Linked DNA regions of Schizosaccharomyces pombe. The protein of the gene in region 1 interacts with the protein of each later gene in a pairwise test. Each region holds a gene or a part of one and is shown on either strand. Other genes may lie near its edges. The genes, in order: ppr5 and uaf2.

Region 1 (9,490 bases):
GGGTCTTTTCCCATAAGTGCATCTCTGTGCAAACTTGATTTTTCATATTGATAGCGAGAAGGTGCAAAAATTAGCTTTTCGTGGGTGGAATCAGTATTTTCAGACATCGTGGTAAACGGGATTGGAAAAGATACTTTTCCTCGTTTCAGGCAGTAACTGAATTTATATGAGATATCTGTTTTGATATATATATAACGCGATGAAACGACTCAGTATCACGCACTAAAGAAAATGCTAGCAAAAGACGTGTCATACGGTACAGCATGCTAGAGCTGGTTAATTTTAACACAAATCGATCAAATTCTATGTCTTTTTAAATTGCCATGAACGATACCAAGAGTTACTGTCATGATACCAAAGTTTCAAGCATTCTTAAGCTTATCCCTGAAATTGTAACTGATGTCAATTGGGCACTTATTAAAACAGTGCTTCTACAGTAGCGGGAATGTTTAAAAGTATTATGTAAACTGAAGTTTTTTAACAACTATATGCCATGGTAACAACATTGTTCTCAACTTAGATCATCTAGTAATGTGTGGAACCAAATTTTATTACTTAGCGGTAGTCATAACCATTTCAGCAATGTTTGTACAGGAATGGTCCAGTGGTTAAAAGTAAAATTGAATACGCGATAAGTAAATTCTAGACATTTTAATGCATAAAATTCTAAGTTCTATATTAATCTATAAAAATATTTTACATAGCATCAAAAAAGATGCTTAAAATTATTTCAAGGAACGAAATAAAGATACATGCCAATAATCAAATATAATATATAAGAATAGCCCAAATCTCATCCAATTAGCACACAAATTTCAGTCTAATTGATAGAACTATTAATTGAGTGTTGGGTACTAGCATTTCCTAAAGAAGCAAGAGAAGAGTGACTAGTATTCAAAGAACGACGTTTAGGTTTCTGACCCATATGGCTATTTACCAAGGAAGAAATACGATTAACAACCGGTAGCGGGTAACGCTTGCGTTTCAATTGTTCCACAATTTCCATTGCCTTTCGACCGTCATTTACACTTAGGTAGGCACGAACCATATTTTCATAGGTGCTAGGTTCCTTACCAGACATACCCTCGCATTCTAAAAGGTCGAAGTAATAACGTGCTTTGCTAATCATGCCAACCTTAGTAAATCCCTTTATAAGGGCATTTACAATGTATGCATTTAACGAGACATTGTAACGCTTCATATCAGAAACAATTTGAATGCCTTCAACAATGCGGTCATTTGCAATAAGAGATTCAATTTGGGATTGGAATAAGTTCGCATCTAGTTGAATTTCCCCGGCATCATGTTTGGCAAGAGCATTCATGTAGCAACTCGTGGCTGCCTGAACATCCGAAACAACGTTTCCTAAAATATGAATATATGCAGCATAATGCATAGATAAAATTGGCACATCTGTACGCTCCATAAGTTCAAGAACTGCCTTTACGGAACCTACATTGACAGGCTTCAATGTACCATAAGCATCCATCAATAACTTATAAGTATGAGAAGAAGGCTCTATGTCGGTAGCACATAGCCTATTGTAGTAAAATAGCGCTTTTTCACGATTAAACATTGTCTGGACCTCAAATTGTATCATAGTGTTGTATGGAGCAACGCGAGGTTGATAGTTAGGCTGATTTTCCATTTCAGCAAATAGCTTCTCAGCAAGACTCTCGTCACCAATGCGACAAGCAGCATTAATTACGGTACCATAAGTAACGCTGGTAGGAAGTAACCCCGATTCCTTCATTTCTTGAAACAATTTCCAGCACTCTGTTGTGCGGCGAGCTCGACCTAATTTAGAAAGCACTGCATTATATAGAAAAACAGAAGGTTTCACATTATGGCGTTTGGTCTCCTCAAAAATATTCAAAGCGGTAGTGGCATCATCAGTATCTCCTCTCCTTGTTGAGTTGTTAATCAAATGTGCGAAAGTTGAAGCACGAGGAATATATCCAAGCATTTTCATATTGTCACAAAAAAGATTTGAAGATTTGAACTGACGAGCAAAGGAAGACGATAAGATCATGGCGTCTAAAATCAACGCCATAAACCAGTTCGCTTTTTCAAGAGACTTCGTACTGATTTTCCTATAGAGGTGCTTGGAATGCTCAAAAACACGTTGCACAGCATCAAAACGTTTATTTTTGCTTAAAACAGATATTAACGTAGGATAAACTTCAGGATGCAAAAATTTATTGGTTTCAATAAGCTTACCGAACTGGAAAAACAATATATTAACGTCCACCTGCTCAGGTGATGCACTTGTTAACATTTTGGAAACAAGTGAATTTATACTTTGATCGATGCATTCCAGGTCGTCAAGGCAATAACAAACTTGCGATATATCCGCTAAAATTTTCTGTCCATTGTTATCAGTAGAGAATCCGACGACTGCTTCAGAGACGATGTCATCTCGAACGGATGCAACCAGCATTTCGTCTTCTTTCAGGTATGTGAAAGAACGTAAAACAACATGAACGTTTTTGAAAGATGCTTTATACGTTCCATTGGAGTAACATTTTAACAAATCAGTGAGGATAACCTTAGAAGTGAAAGTACCTTCGGTTTGCACGACATTGAATGCTGCATATTCCAGCAAAAAGCCAAATACTCTAGGAGAAATGAGCTCCGGTTCTAAGCGACGGCTAACTAAGTAACCCGTTATATGTCGTAACAACGGAGTAGTAAAATCAACTTGAGGGAAGTTTACTTGGTTCTCTAACGTTGAAACCAACGATAAAAGAACATGCACATCTTTTTGTAACTCCTCCGTCAACACTTCCCAAAATCCATTAAGGATTGATAATTGAAGAGCAACACTATTAGAAGATGGTGCAGTATTGTTACCAAGGGAAACTTTTGGATCAATGTGTTTACGAAGTAGACGAAGTGCAACATCAATCTTTCCGTTCTCAATGAAAGCTTTGTAAACGTTCGAAAACGTAAAGTTAGTGTGAGAAGACACAGAACAAATAACGGGATATGCATGTAAATGAAGTAGATCGACATTCCCTGATCTGGCAAGCAAGTCCAGATAACGGAGAAGCACTGCATGACAGTCGCTAAATCGAGATAATGTATATTTTCTCACAAAAGCAATAGCAAACTTGTCGTTGTTGTTCAAACAAGCCGCCTCCAATATGGACGATAATGTAGACGGACTCGCTTTGTAAGTGCTAATCTTTTCTATAGCCATACCAAGCCATTCAGCAGATTCCTTATAATGTCCTAATTGAGCCAATCTACGTAAAAAGCAGTCTAATATTGAAGACGGTATAACTTGATTGCTATCAGCCTTTCGGAAAAAAGATTTCATCAATGCACTTGCTTCAACATGGTGATCTGTGTCAAAATAAGCTTCCATTAAACCTTCCCAAGAACGCACATTAGTCATCGAAGTGTCACTAGTTGGATCAGATAAGTTATAACGCTCTAAAAGTTGAAAACAACTGTTGAGCCTTTTAGCTCTACCGAGAGCTCTAATTAGAGCTGGGAGTAAATCAGGATGGCCGTTAGCTTCAATAGTGCCAAGAGGAACGCACTCTAATAAGGAATCCAATTGGCTTTGCGTTCCATACAAAGAAACACTCTCAATTAAAATAGCATAAAATTGAGGAGAGTATATGAGATCGTGATTAATGAGGCTAGAAGTAAACATGAAAACAGCAGTTTGCAAAGGCATCTCGGATTGCAGATCGAGCAATTCAGGCTGTATTTCTTTTGCAATACTCGGATGTGCGTAAATAGTGCGCTTAGAGAGTGATTCAATTTTTTGATGCACGAATTTAGCGCGACGACAAAGAGCGAAAATGACGGTTTCAAATGTAGTTACGTTTGGAGAGATAAACGAATTAAGCATATCGACATAAACCTTGATAATTTTTTGAATGTTTTTTGATGACGACAAAAAATAGTCGTCCGTACTCATGCATTGCAAAACAATATTGTACGCTTCCAAAGTCAATAGTTCAGGAGAGTTTCGAACAAGCTTATACAGATCAAAAGTATGAATGGATAATTTACTACTAGCAAGTCTTTTCAAAAATTGAATAAACTCATTGGCAGAAGTGAAAGAATTCAGAGAAATTGAAGCAAAAGAAGATTCCAAAGAATTAGGAGTTAAAGTATCCAGTAAAGGGTCCGAAACTTCGGACTGGGTTTCAGTTGAGAGGGGAGATGTTGCGAGAGAGTTAAATTGTTGTTCATCATCTACATCACCGCATGTCGAGTCACATAGTGACGAGAGAGAAGCAGGTAAAAGAGAAGCAGAAAAATGTGAGCTGTTAGGGTTGAGATTGTCAACAAAGCGATGAAGGGACTTGCCTGGAGGAGATTGCTTACGCTCAGAAAGAGAAGGATCGAAGTAACCAAGCTGAATACTACGGTCATGGAAGATAATGTCATCCTCAGTTAAGAAAAGACGCTCATCCAATGAACCAGGTGCTTTCGTGTTAGAGAGAGAGAGGTTCGTTTGGGCTTGTTGTTGTTGAATCCAATTCGTCATATTTCCAAGCTTCAAAGGAGGACGATGAACGGCAACATTTTTGCCAAGTGTTTGTCTGGCAATATTTTGCAAAAACCAAGCTTTCGTGTAAACCATATTGAAACTAATATTAAGCGTAAATGGGATAATAGTCTAGAAAATAAACAAAAACGGATATAAACAATCTAAAAAAAAATTAGACCAAAAAGAGACACAATAAATAGAAAAAACGTAAAACAAATGAAATGAATAATAAAAAGAATAGTAAACACCCAAAGAACACAAGAAATGAATAAAAAAGAGAGAAAAACGGAAACGATATGTATAGCTAAACGGTATAGCCGACCACCAACCAGAATATCCACTAACTCAGGGAAAGAAGACTAGCAGGACAGACTATAAAATAGTACAGCAAAGGTTAAATGAAATGGTCACTGAGATTTGAAATATAGAATAAATCAAGTGAATGTGTTATGTACGCCTGGTAATGACGAGCCTATCACCGTTATCAGATGAACTGCGTTATAGACCAGAATAAGAGTGAAATATACACAAAGCAAACAAAGGAGTGCTAGTTGGAGGGTACGTAAAGATTCAAGGATTGAAAAATAAAAAGATAGAGCAATCCTAGCACTCGCAATTGAATTATCAAAGACAAATAAAAATTCCAATAAAGTCAAATGAAGAAAGCGATTCGAATACTTTGCTTATAAAGTAGAATTTTTACAATGTTTTCAAAGTACGATCGTCTTAATGGCAAGTGGAGAAGAGTATATATGACGATTTAAATCTGATCAAGCGTCAGCAGTGGCGAAATGAAACAAGACGCCGATATGAAAATTACAAGAGGAGGGTAATTTAGTTATATCAAATTGAAGCAGGGGAGTGGAATAAATGAATGAAGAAATAGATGGGAAAAAACAATAAACCTGACGAAATCTAATACACCGTGCCAAACAAAAGAGGATTGGGTAGAAAACCTAGGTACGTTAAACCGAATAACAAAAAAAAGGGAGAGAAAATGATAGAATAATTAAATGCTTAGTTCATCTAAAATGCGGAAAAAGAAAAGCGATTTGAGCTTCAAGAATTTGTTGAATGAATAACAGATATGTCTGTAGCTAATGAATCCTCAGAAAAGGGCAAGGAAGTAGATCTATAAGGGAAGTGTGTGCTTGATTAATTAAAACACCAAGCACAAGTTTCGTGTGTTTAAGCTTCCAACAGGGAAAGATGAGGATGGCGACGCAAAAAAAAAAGCGGAAATTTTTCACAATCAACAAAATTATTTCGTTTTGTTGAAAAACGAGCTGTTACAGGGCAATAAGTGTGAAAATAATCTATTTCAACAATTGTCTAGTACGTAGTAACAGAGTATTCAGTATGGCTTTCGACAAGTTCAAGTTTAAAATTGAACGAGTGATATTTGTAGTTGGTTGGTCGTAGCAATTTTGTGAGACAATGAAGTCAAAGTCACGTTACCCCGAATAAGAAGTCTTAAAGATAAGGAGCTGCTAAATATGTGGTAAAAGATATTCTGCACCCGTTGATAATTCGACGAATTTAGCGAATGTTAGTTTGTCAGGATGTCAGGTATGTATATATATGGAAACCAATATTTTAGCGTGGACCAAACGAGCCTCGTCGGTGAAAAAAGAAGATAAAAAAAATTGTGGATCGATTTTTTTGAGACAAGTTTATCGTCCCAACGCAAATTCGAAGGCGGACGATATTGAGATAGATTTGAGAAGCGGAACTAGCGCCAGTTTTGCCGCAGCTAGTAAAAGGGGACAGGTTAGGAACACATTTTATCGGGTAAGGAGATTTTCCAACAACTCCTAAGTTGGGACTAAGCAAAATTCAGGAAGGGTGGGAAATTACAAAAATAGCACGCAAGAGATGAGAAGTAAGAGTCTATTGTGCTAGCTGAAAAATCCCGTAGGCAGACAAACCTACGAATCGCATACAGGTGCAGAAATAAATAAATACATGGCGAATTTCATTATTAGAGAAATACGTGAATCCTAAACTTTAAACTATACTTCGCGCCTAAGAAAACATTTTTAGACAAAACAAAATTCATTGACCTTAAAACGGGTACTTTTAAAATAAGTGCACTAAAGAATAATCAAGCTCCTCTGCGCACAGTATCTCAACCTTATTAGAAAGAAAACTTGCGGAATTACTCATTAAATAACCAGATCATTTAGAATCACGAAGTATGGAGGGAAAACAAATGGCATTGGTATGATTTTAAATACACAAGCCTCCATTACTGTCTGAGCCTCACTCTCTGGAAGCCCTCCAATCGAAACGTTACTTTATGGAAAGAAAGGCATTATAAAATGTATCGATGGGGTATGCTGTGAGTTGTAAATGATCATTGCTGACATATATCATGTTGATCTGATAAAAAGTCATATGTTACAATGGTAGAAACTCGAACGAGTGCTCGGTATATTGAATATACAGCACTACTTTGATATTCTCGGTATAGATCGGCAATTTGCAATATAACAATTTATAAATGGTAGGTCACTGTAGTTCAATATTTCAAGAGTATCTAGGTTGCCATAAAGGTTAGCGTGGTATTGAGAAAAGGATGAATATTATCAAGAATTGACTCCGTAGATCAGTCTTTATCTATTATATTTCTTAATTGTTCACTGCTTCCCAGTCATGATTCACAGATCGACAATTGACTTAGTGTCGGCCCACTAGTATTGTAGCCAGCTTTAAAGAATGTCTTGTTGGTCTATACTAACAACCATAACACTTAGAACAATAAACTAAATCGCAATCTTAACAATTAAGTACAAGCGCTAATCCGAGCAAGGTAGCGCATTCGAACCTTTAACGAATCTGTAATACAACAGAATTCGTGACCTTTATTTTTTTAAAATATCTAACAACAACCTGTGATTGTCGTAAATGCTTTTCTAATTATTAGTTCATGATAAACAGATTTGTAATTCTTTAGTTATAGCACCTTAGAGTTCTGTGCTGTAGTATAAAAATTATTGTAGTGTGGAAAAATTGATTAAAACATATGTGAAAAGCAAAGCTTTTTCCAAAAAAAAAAAAAAAAAAAAAAAAAAAGAAAATAAATTAATAAATAAATAAACTATTACAATGAACATACTAGACTGCAGTAAAACCCTTTCCATCTAAATATTTTAAATATGCAGTATTCGAATTTTTCTTTTACTTAAATAACCAAAAATAAAAATAATTCATACGTATTACAACATAAAACAAGCAACAATGTTTGTGATTTAATTATATACGCATCGCCTTCTTCATTTAAAATACGTATGTGACGGTTCCCTTGTTTGGTTATGCACATCTATTTGTTTACTTTTTAAATATTGGAATAATGCTGCTAATGTAAAGCCTGCGACCTTCATTAACTGTTAATCATTAAAGAATAGGGTAAAAAAATCATCAAGAAACAAAATAGTCGGTGATAAAGCAAAAAAATTGCATTATGTAGTTTTGTTCCGATATCTTGTTTTTTACATTTTTAAACGGTACTTCAAAAATACAATGCAACCACCGAAGACTTCAAATAATTTAGCTTCTGATAAATAATTTTAGAAATTTATTATAGTAATAATTTAATCTACAAATTTCGCAATCAAATATTAGTTTGGATATATGAAATCGCTAATTTTTGGATATTAGGTTATTCAGGTTATACACGTTAAACAGCAATTTAACACTTGCATGCAGTGTCCAATTTTAAATTAGCTTTCATACAAAAATTGGCTGCTATAAATTATGCCTGCAAGATAGTGTGATATTATAGAATTTTCTTCATTCTAATATTCTTTTGTAATGTTACTGAAAGAATTTGAATAACATTAAACTTCTATATTTTTTCTGAAAGTATGCAGGTGACAGTAAACATAGCTTCTAAAAAAACAAAGAACCCTTTTAAATTTAAGGAAAATGCTCAGTTGTAGAAAAGAAAGCATGCATGTCTTAAATTGTATTTTTTTTGACAACATTCAATAACAAATATAAAAATAAATTTGAAAATTTTGTTTATGCTTGCTTCTTTTTCGCTTTGATATCTTGCATCCACAATCCGAGTACGTTAATATTTCTCGATTGTTTGCCAAGTGATCTATTATTCAAAATTATTTATTTTTCTGTTGAATTTCCTACTGAATAAGCTTATATCGTTCTAATGGTGTACTCGAAGATATTGCATAAATACCATCTCCAAATTGATTGTTATTATTATTATCTTTCTTTTAATAAAATACTTCTACGTTTTTTGAACCATCTTACTTTGCTTTTTGTATCTAGAATTGAGGAGCAGACGCGATTTACTTAATGTATGATCGCATTGAGTCGAACGTGTTGTTAGTTGTCAACACTTACTTTATTTTCATAACCTCACATCCAGTTTGCTTCGTCAAGCCATAAAGTAGCGAATAGCAATATTAAATTGATTTGAATGTTTAGAAATTTAACTTAAATTTTTTATTTCATTCAAACATCGTCGTCATTTTCCAGATAATGAAATATTGGCAGGCAATTCTATTTTTCCTATTTGGAATCGCTTTCGCGAACAATCTTAATATTCCTTGGAAGGTAAAACAAAATTTTTTTTAGGCTTATTTCAACCATAACTCGAATAGTCTTAGTAAGCCTGTGAACATGGATTTTATTCGACTTAAGAATATAAATCTACCTTACTGAGATTCTTTCGGAGAAATGGTGACAAATTCAAGTGTTTCTAATCTAACAATTATTTAGGCATGTCCTAATTACAAGACATACTCTGGAAGGAGACATTATCCAGCTACTGGCCCTTTGAGGTTACCGTTTCAACGACCAGCAACATCATGCCGTACGTTTCATTCTAAATCGGTGGAGCAGACTATTGAAGATGTGAAGGAGCAACTTGAGGATGAAGATTTAGCACGTTTATTTGAAAATTGTATGCCAAATACTCTTGATACTACAATTCGTTGGCATGCCGCTGATTCA
Region 2 (5,751 bases), 720 kb from region 1:
AGTTCTGATTCTCCCAACTTTTTTCCATCCTCCAGCACAAATGACCATCAAGAACGTGACACAATTAACGACACTAACTTTGTAGTTCCAGGTACGCCATTATAATTAGTCACAAAAAGTGGAGAACTAGAAATTAACATTCATAGAGAAACAAAAAACATCCAAGCTCGCATTACTCGCCGCTGAACGGAAAAAATTGCATTCTTCTTTTCCATCCACTCAACAGCAGCCGCCTAAAACCGAAAAGGAAAAGGAAAAAGAGCCTATTCAAGCTAAACATAAGAAAAACGTTGAAAATGATTTTTTGTTGCAAAGGTTTCGAAAGGTTCGCATTGCAGAGAAGAAAGACTCTGAACAACCATCGTCTCATGAAATTCATCTTACTGACGATGATGATAAAACCACACTCCAAAAACAAATGGTGGAAAGCGACCAACTGAAGAAGAACCCCCAAGAGGTAAAATTAGCTCCTCCTTCCTCATTTGCGAAATGTCTTACAGGCGCAAAGAAGCGCGTTTTTGAGGACCAAATTGAGATTCATCTAAGCAAAAGTTCACTTTTAGGATTTAACGCCCCTAGCCCTGACGACATAGTTTTGATGGCTCAATCTAAATCTAAAAGTATGCTTTGTCTCCTTCAATTCATCTTTTCCTTTTTTTTTCGCGCTAATTGTTAAACAGGTTTCCAAAAACACAAACGTTTGGACGAGCAATTGCTAAACTCTGTAAAGTCAATGAAGAAAGTTTCTCAACAATTGAAACCTCAAAAAAATACTAATGATTCAAATAATGATCACACCTTACTTTCCCAAGATCAGTTAATTGAACTTTCCAAATTAGTAAAGCCTCGAACGAAACTCTTGTTGTTGGGCCCGCCCAAGTCTGGTAAAAAAACACTCCTTTCTAGATTATTTTTTCAAATTGGATCATTTGATCCCAAAACCATGCAAAAATGTACAGTACTGAATGCCAAAAAAGAAAGTTTGAGCTCAGTGCTAAAGTCCACCAAAACGAAATGGTATGATTTTGAAACATTTTCCAACAGTTACTCCTCAACTATTATTGATTTTCCTTTAGGAATCTTCACTACTAATGCAAGTTCTCGAGATAATTTTCTAAAACATTCAAGTTTGTTTCAAGTAATGAACACAGCCATTTTCACCATTGATTGTCTGAATCCTTTGGAAGGTCTTGATGGAATATCTTCCATTTTACAATTGATGAATGGCTTATCTATTTCAAGCTATATGTTTGCTATCACTAAGATGGATGAAATTGAGTGGGATGAAAATAAATTCATTAATCTTGTTAACTCGATTCAGAGCTTTCTGAAAGAAAGTTGCGGAATAATTGAGAAATCAAAATTCATTCCGATAAGCGGACTAAAAGGAACCAATCTTACATCCATTAGTCAAGAAAAATTATCCCAGTGGTATAAATCTGATACATTGCTTGGCAAAATTGATAAAGAAGCAGATACAAATCATGGCACATGGAATTTTCTTCTTAATCTACCTCTCTCTTTAACAATTTCACACATTACTCCTTTGCCAGAAAATCAATCACATATTTACTGTAGCATCCATTCAGGCATGCTTCAGGATTCGCAAAAGCTTTATGTAGGCACAGGGAGATTAGAAACACAAATCACAGGTACGGAAGGTGTTCAATTATTTTATGTTAATCAAAAAAGGACTGAGCAGTGATGAAAATCCCAAAGGGTTTAATGTTGCTGGGGATATGATTCAAGCCAAAATCCCTACATTACCCAATTTATGGTAAGTTCTTTGCAATTCTTGTATTTCTAATAAATAGTCCTGGGATTTTAATTGCTGATAGTATCGATGCCTTTACTTCTTCGAAAACTGCTTACGTTAATGCAACTTGGTTTCACGGTTCTCTTGAAAAAGGAAAGTCGATGCATGTAATAGCCCTATTCGGCTGTCACGCAGTCCTTACCAAACTGTATTGCTTTACAGACAGTCAAGAAAAAGCTCCTAACGCAATCGGAAACGATCTTGAAAGAAATCGAACCTCACTTGTGAAAATTGAATTAGAGAATGCTTTCCCTCTCGTAAAAGAAAGCTACATTAACACCTTAAGCCGCGTTTTATTCGTTTCAGAAAAATGGAATAGCTTAATTGCGTTTGGAACAGTACTATCTCTGCATGACTGAATCCCTAACTTACGTATTATACTCAACTCCATATTAATTTTGCATTCGAAAAAATTTTCCGTCCTTTTTAAAGAAATTCTCTATAGATTGTTTTAAATATTGTAAAACTACCGATGTTGTTCATTTGCGTACATCTCAGGCATCGTGACATTTGGAAACAATTTGTTCTCGAGTAAATTTCCTGAGCAAAAAAAAGGAATGTGCTGTGTTAAGAATAATTTATCTTTTTTTCTTTTGAATCGTTGGCACATCAGTCTAATAACAGTAACTACTTATTCTTGATATTTTCCAAATTCGAATATAATTAGGGAAATACAAGGGAATATCTGTATATCGGATAGTTGTAAGCTACGCAGTTTGGTATCTGATTTAAGGATACGTAGAACTGTGGTGAGTTTTCCTTGTGATCTATTATATTACAATACACAGGTTATATAAGTAGCAACTGAGTATAGGTATTGTATTAACTGGGTTATAATGTTACCTATCACTAATATAGCTCATAACTGAACTGAGGAACGAGGTTCAGCAGTAGCTCTATTTATAGTATTCAGATAATATAGATCTTAATAGATTATCATTAAGATCAATCTCCATATCGTATCATACATGGTACGATATATAATTAGAACATGTGACATATAGTGATACGCAACGTAGTGTATCATAGCGTAGTGTAGTACTGCTGACAATAGTGTGCAAGAATAATTTAGAAAATTTGCGTAACTTAACGAGATGTTGCACGCCACCATTATAAGACTAGAATCATGTTGGATCACTTTATTTCATAACCACCATATAAAAATGGCAAGTCATTTGGCAAGTATTTATGGTACTGAGCAAGATAAAGTCAATTGCTCATTCTATTATAAAATAGGAGCTTGTAGACATGGGGAACGCTGCTCTCGTAAACATGTCAAACCAAATTTTAGTCAAACGATCTTATGTCCCAACATGTATAAAAACCCAATTCATGAACCAAATGGCAAAAAGTTCACGCAGCGTGAACTTGCAGAACAATTTGATGCATTCTACGAGGACATGTTTTGTGAGTTTTCAAAATACGGTGAAGTTGAACAATTAGTCGTCTGTGACAATGTTGGAGATCACTTAGTCGGAAATGTTTATGTAAGATTCAAGTATGAAGAGTCTGCCCAAAATGCTATTGATGATTTAAATTCCCGATGGTATTCCCAAAGACCAGTCTACGCCGAGTTATCTCCTGTAACTGATTTTCGCGAGGCATGTTGCCGGCAACACGAAACTTCGGAATGTCAGCGGGGTGGCCTTTGTAATTTTATGCATGCCAAAAAACCAAGTCCTCAGCTTTTACGCGATTTGGTACTAGCACAAAGAAAGTATTTGGCCTTAAATGCAGCAGAAGAAATGAAAAAGGAGCCCAATAGTGATTCCACGAATCGATGGGTCAGTGTAACTGCTGAACGCAAAAATTAAATAGCAACTTATGGAATGTATTTGTTTTGGATTCTGGTTTGCTTTTGTACGGTTTTACTTCGTTTATTATGATTAATCTCTGGCTATAGTTTGTTGTGATTTAGGTTATTTAAATAGATGTTGCATTCTTTTATTGTTTACTAATAAACTTGATCTTTGTACAACTGTACTCATAGACGTTTTAAATTTTGTGTCCAATGTGCCTATGGCTGATTACAAGCTAAAGGAGATCGATTAGAAACATATGAAACGATCAAACATTTCGCAAAACTTGCACAGCAATTCTTAAAAACGAAGGTGTTATTGGTAGAAGCTGTGTACGATATAAGAAAAAAAAAACAAAAAAAAATAAATAGAACCCGTATTTAAGCCAAAATTGTTCAGTTGTTGTATGTTACGAAAAAATAAGTTTCAAAAATTAAAAAAATTAAAACTGCTGAATATAACATTTATATGTCTTAATTACTTTTTTGGTTTTGACGGCGAGCACGGACAGCTTCAGCAAGATCGTCTAGCATTGGAGCAGTTTGTTCCCAGCTAACACAAGCATCAGTGATACTGACACCGTACTTGAGAGTATCCTTAACGCCAGGACGGATTGGAGCATCTTGACGACCTTCATTGATATGAGATTCAATCATAACACCAACAATGGAAGAGTCGCCATTTCTGATTTGTTCGGCGATGCTCTTGGAGACCTTTGGTTGGTTCAAATGATTCTTGCTTGAGTTGCCATGAGAGCAATCGATCATGATACGAGGAGGAAGGTTGGCCTTCTCAAGATCTTTGCGAACGGCGGCAACGTGCTCAGCATCATAGTTAGGACCCTTCTTACCACCACGCAAAATGATGAAGGTATCCTTGTTGCCCCTGGTCATGGTAATAGCGGCGAGACCTTGTTTAGTAACTCCTAGCATTGTGTGAGGATGGGCGGTAGCACCAATGGCATCAATCGCCACACCAACAGTACCATCAGTACCATTCTTGAAACCAACAGGGAAGGAAAGGGCAGAAGCCAATTCACGATGTAATTGAGACTCGGTAGTACGAGCACCGATAGCACCAAAACTGAGTAAGTCGGCGAAGAATTGGGGAGAAATGTTGTCCAACATCTCACTGGCCAAAGGAATGCCAAAATTGGTAACGTCGCAATACATTTGACGAGCCATCCTAATACCCTTGTTGATAGCAAAAGAACCATCCAAGTTAGGGTCGTTGACCAAACCCTTCCATCCGATAGTAGTACGGGGCTTCTCCAAATAACAACGCATGACAACGCACAAAGCATCCTGAAGCTCGTCAGCTTTGGGCTTCAGCAACTTAGCATAGTCCATGGCCAATTTAGGGTCATGAATGGAGCAAGGACCGACAACAACGATAATTCTGTCATCTTGTTTGTTGAGAATAGCTTGAATCTCCTTTCTGGAGTCAGTGATGACTTTGCGAGAAGTTTCAGAAACAGGAATCTCTTGTTGAACCAAAGCGGCAGGAACCAAAGGGTTGTAACCTAAGACACGGTTGTCATCAAGATGCTCTTGATCGTAAGTTTCACCGCTGGGTAAAAAAACCTAATTGAATAATGTTAGCAAATTGACATTAAAAAAAAAGACCAAACATGCTGGACATAGCAATCAACATAAAGCAATAAAAATTTCAAAAAAAAGAAACAAAAAAATTTAAAATTTCAATTGCCTAAAAATTCATCAGCAAAAACAAATTTGTTATCCGCATAGTAAAATCTACTATATAACTCAATAAGATAACTTTCAGTACTGTTTCTCCGACTGATGAAAATTTTTACTAGCAAAATTCTTTGGATGCCCAATTGGGGTTACTTACCGGAGACATGGCTTATTAAATAGAATTAATAAATTTAGGTCAAAGAGTGCTTCCTAAGTTGTTGAATGCCAAGTAAGTAAACACTATTAAAGGTCCTTTACTACGACGAAGGTTGGTTCTGTCTGAGTTCGAAGCAGCGCCAACGAAAAATATATGTAGTCCAGTAATAAGATGATCCAGTGATAATGGCTCTAAGTCATCGGAACTGCGAAACAAGTAGTAGGCAATTTCTGGACATCATCGCTTAAAAATTTGTTCAAATTTATAAGTCCTTTGTTTTGT

Evidence for each region.
Region 2: the proteins of ppr5 (region 1) and uaf2 interact in a two-hybrid assay, tested with the Schizosaccharomyces pombe proteins (one large-scale study listed by BioGRID).

What each region holds. Positions count from the first base shown.
Region 1 is NC_003424.3:4,602,748-4,612,237, reverse strand, and holds ppr5 (PPR repeat-containing protein Ppr5), read right to left. Parts: upstream 5,421-9,490; 5' UTR 4,607-5,420; coding exon 821-4,606; 3' UTR 501-820; downstream 1-500. Other genes in the region: pdx3 (pyridoxamine 5'-phosphate oxidase), read right to left, coding at 1-107; SPOM_SPAC1093.07 (uncharacterized protein), read left to right, coding at 6,095-6,331; protein mug157, read left to right, coding at 9,017-9,091, 9,257-9,490. UniProt on the Schizosaccharomyces pombe protein: Mitochondrial RNA-binding protein that acts as a general negative regulator of mitochondrial translation.
Region 2 is NC_003424.3:5,322,632-5,328,382, forward strand, and holds uaf2 (U2 auxiliary factor small subunit Uaf2), read left to right. Parts: upstream 1-2,962; 5' UTR 2,963-2,979; coding exon 2,980-3,630; 3' UTR 3,631-3,804; downstream 3,805-5,751. Other genes in the region: ski7 (ski complex-interacting GTPase), read left to right, coding at 1-91, 147-620, 681-1,652, 1,693-1,777, 1,815-2,175; SPOM_SPAP8A3.07C (phospho-2-dehydro-3-deoxyheptonate aldolase), read right to left, coding at 4,089-5,198, 5,470-5,478.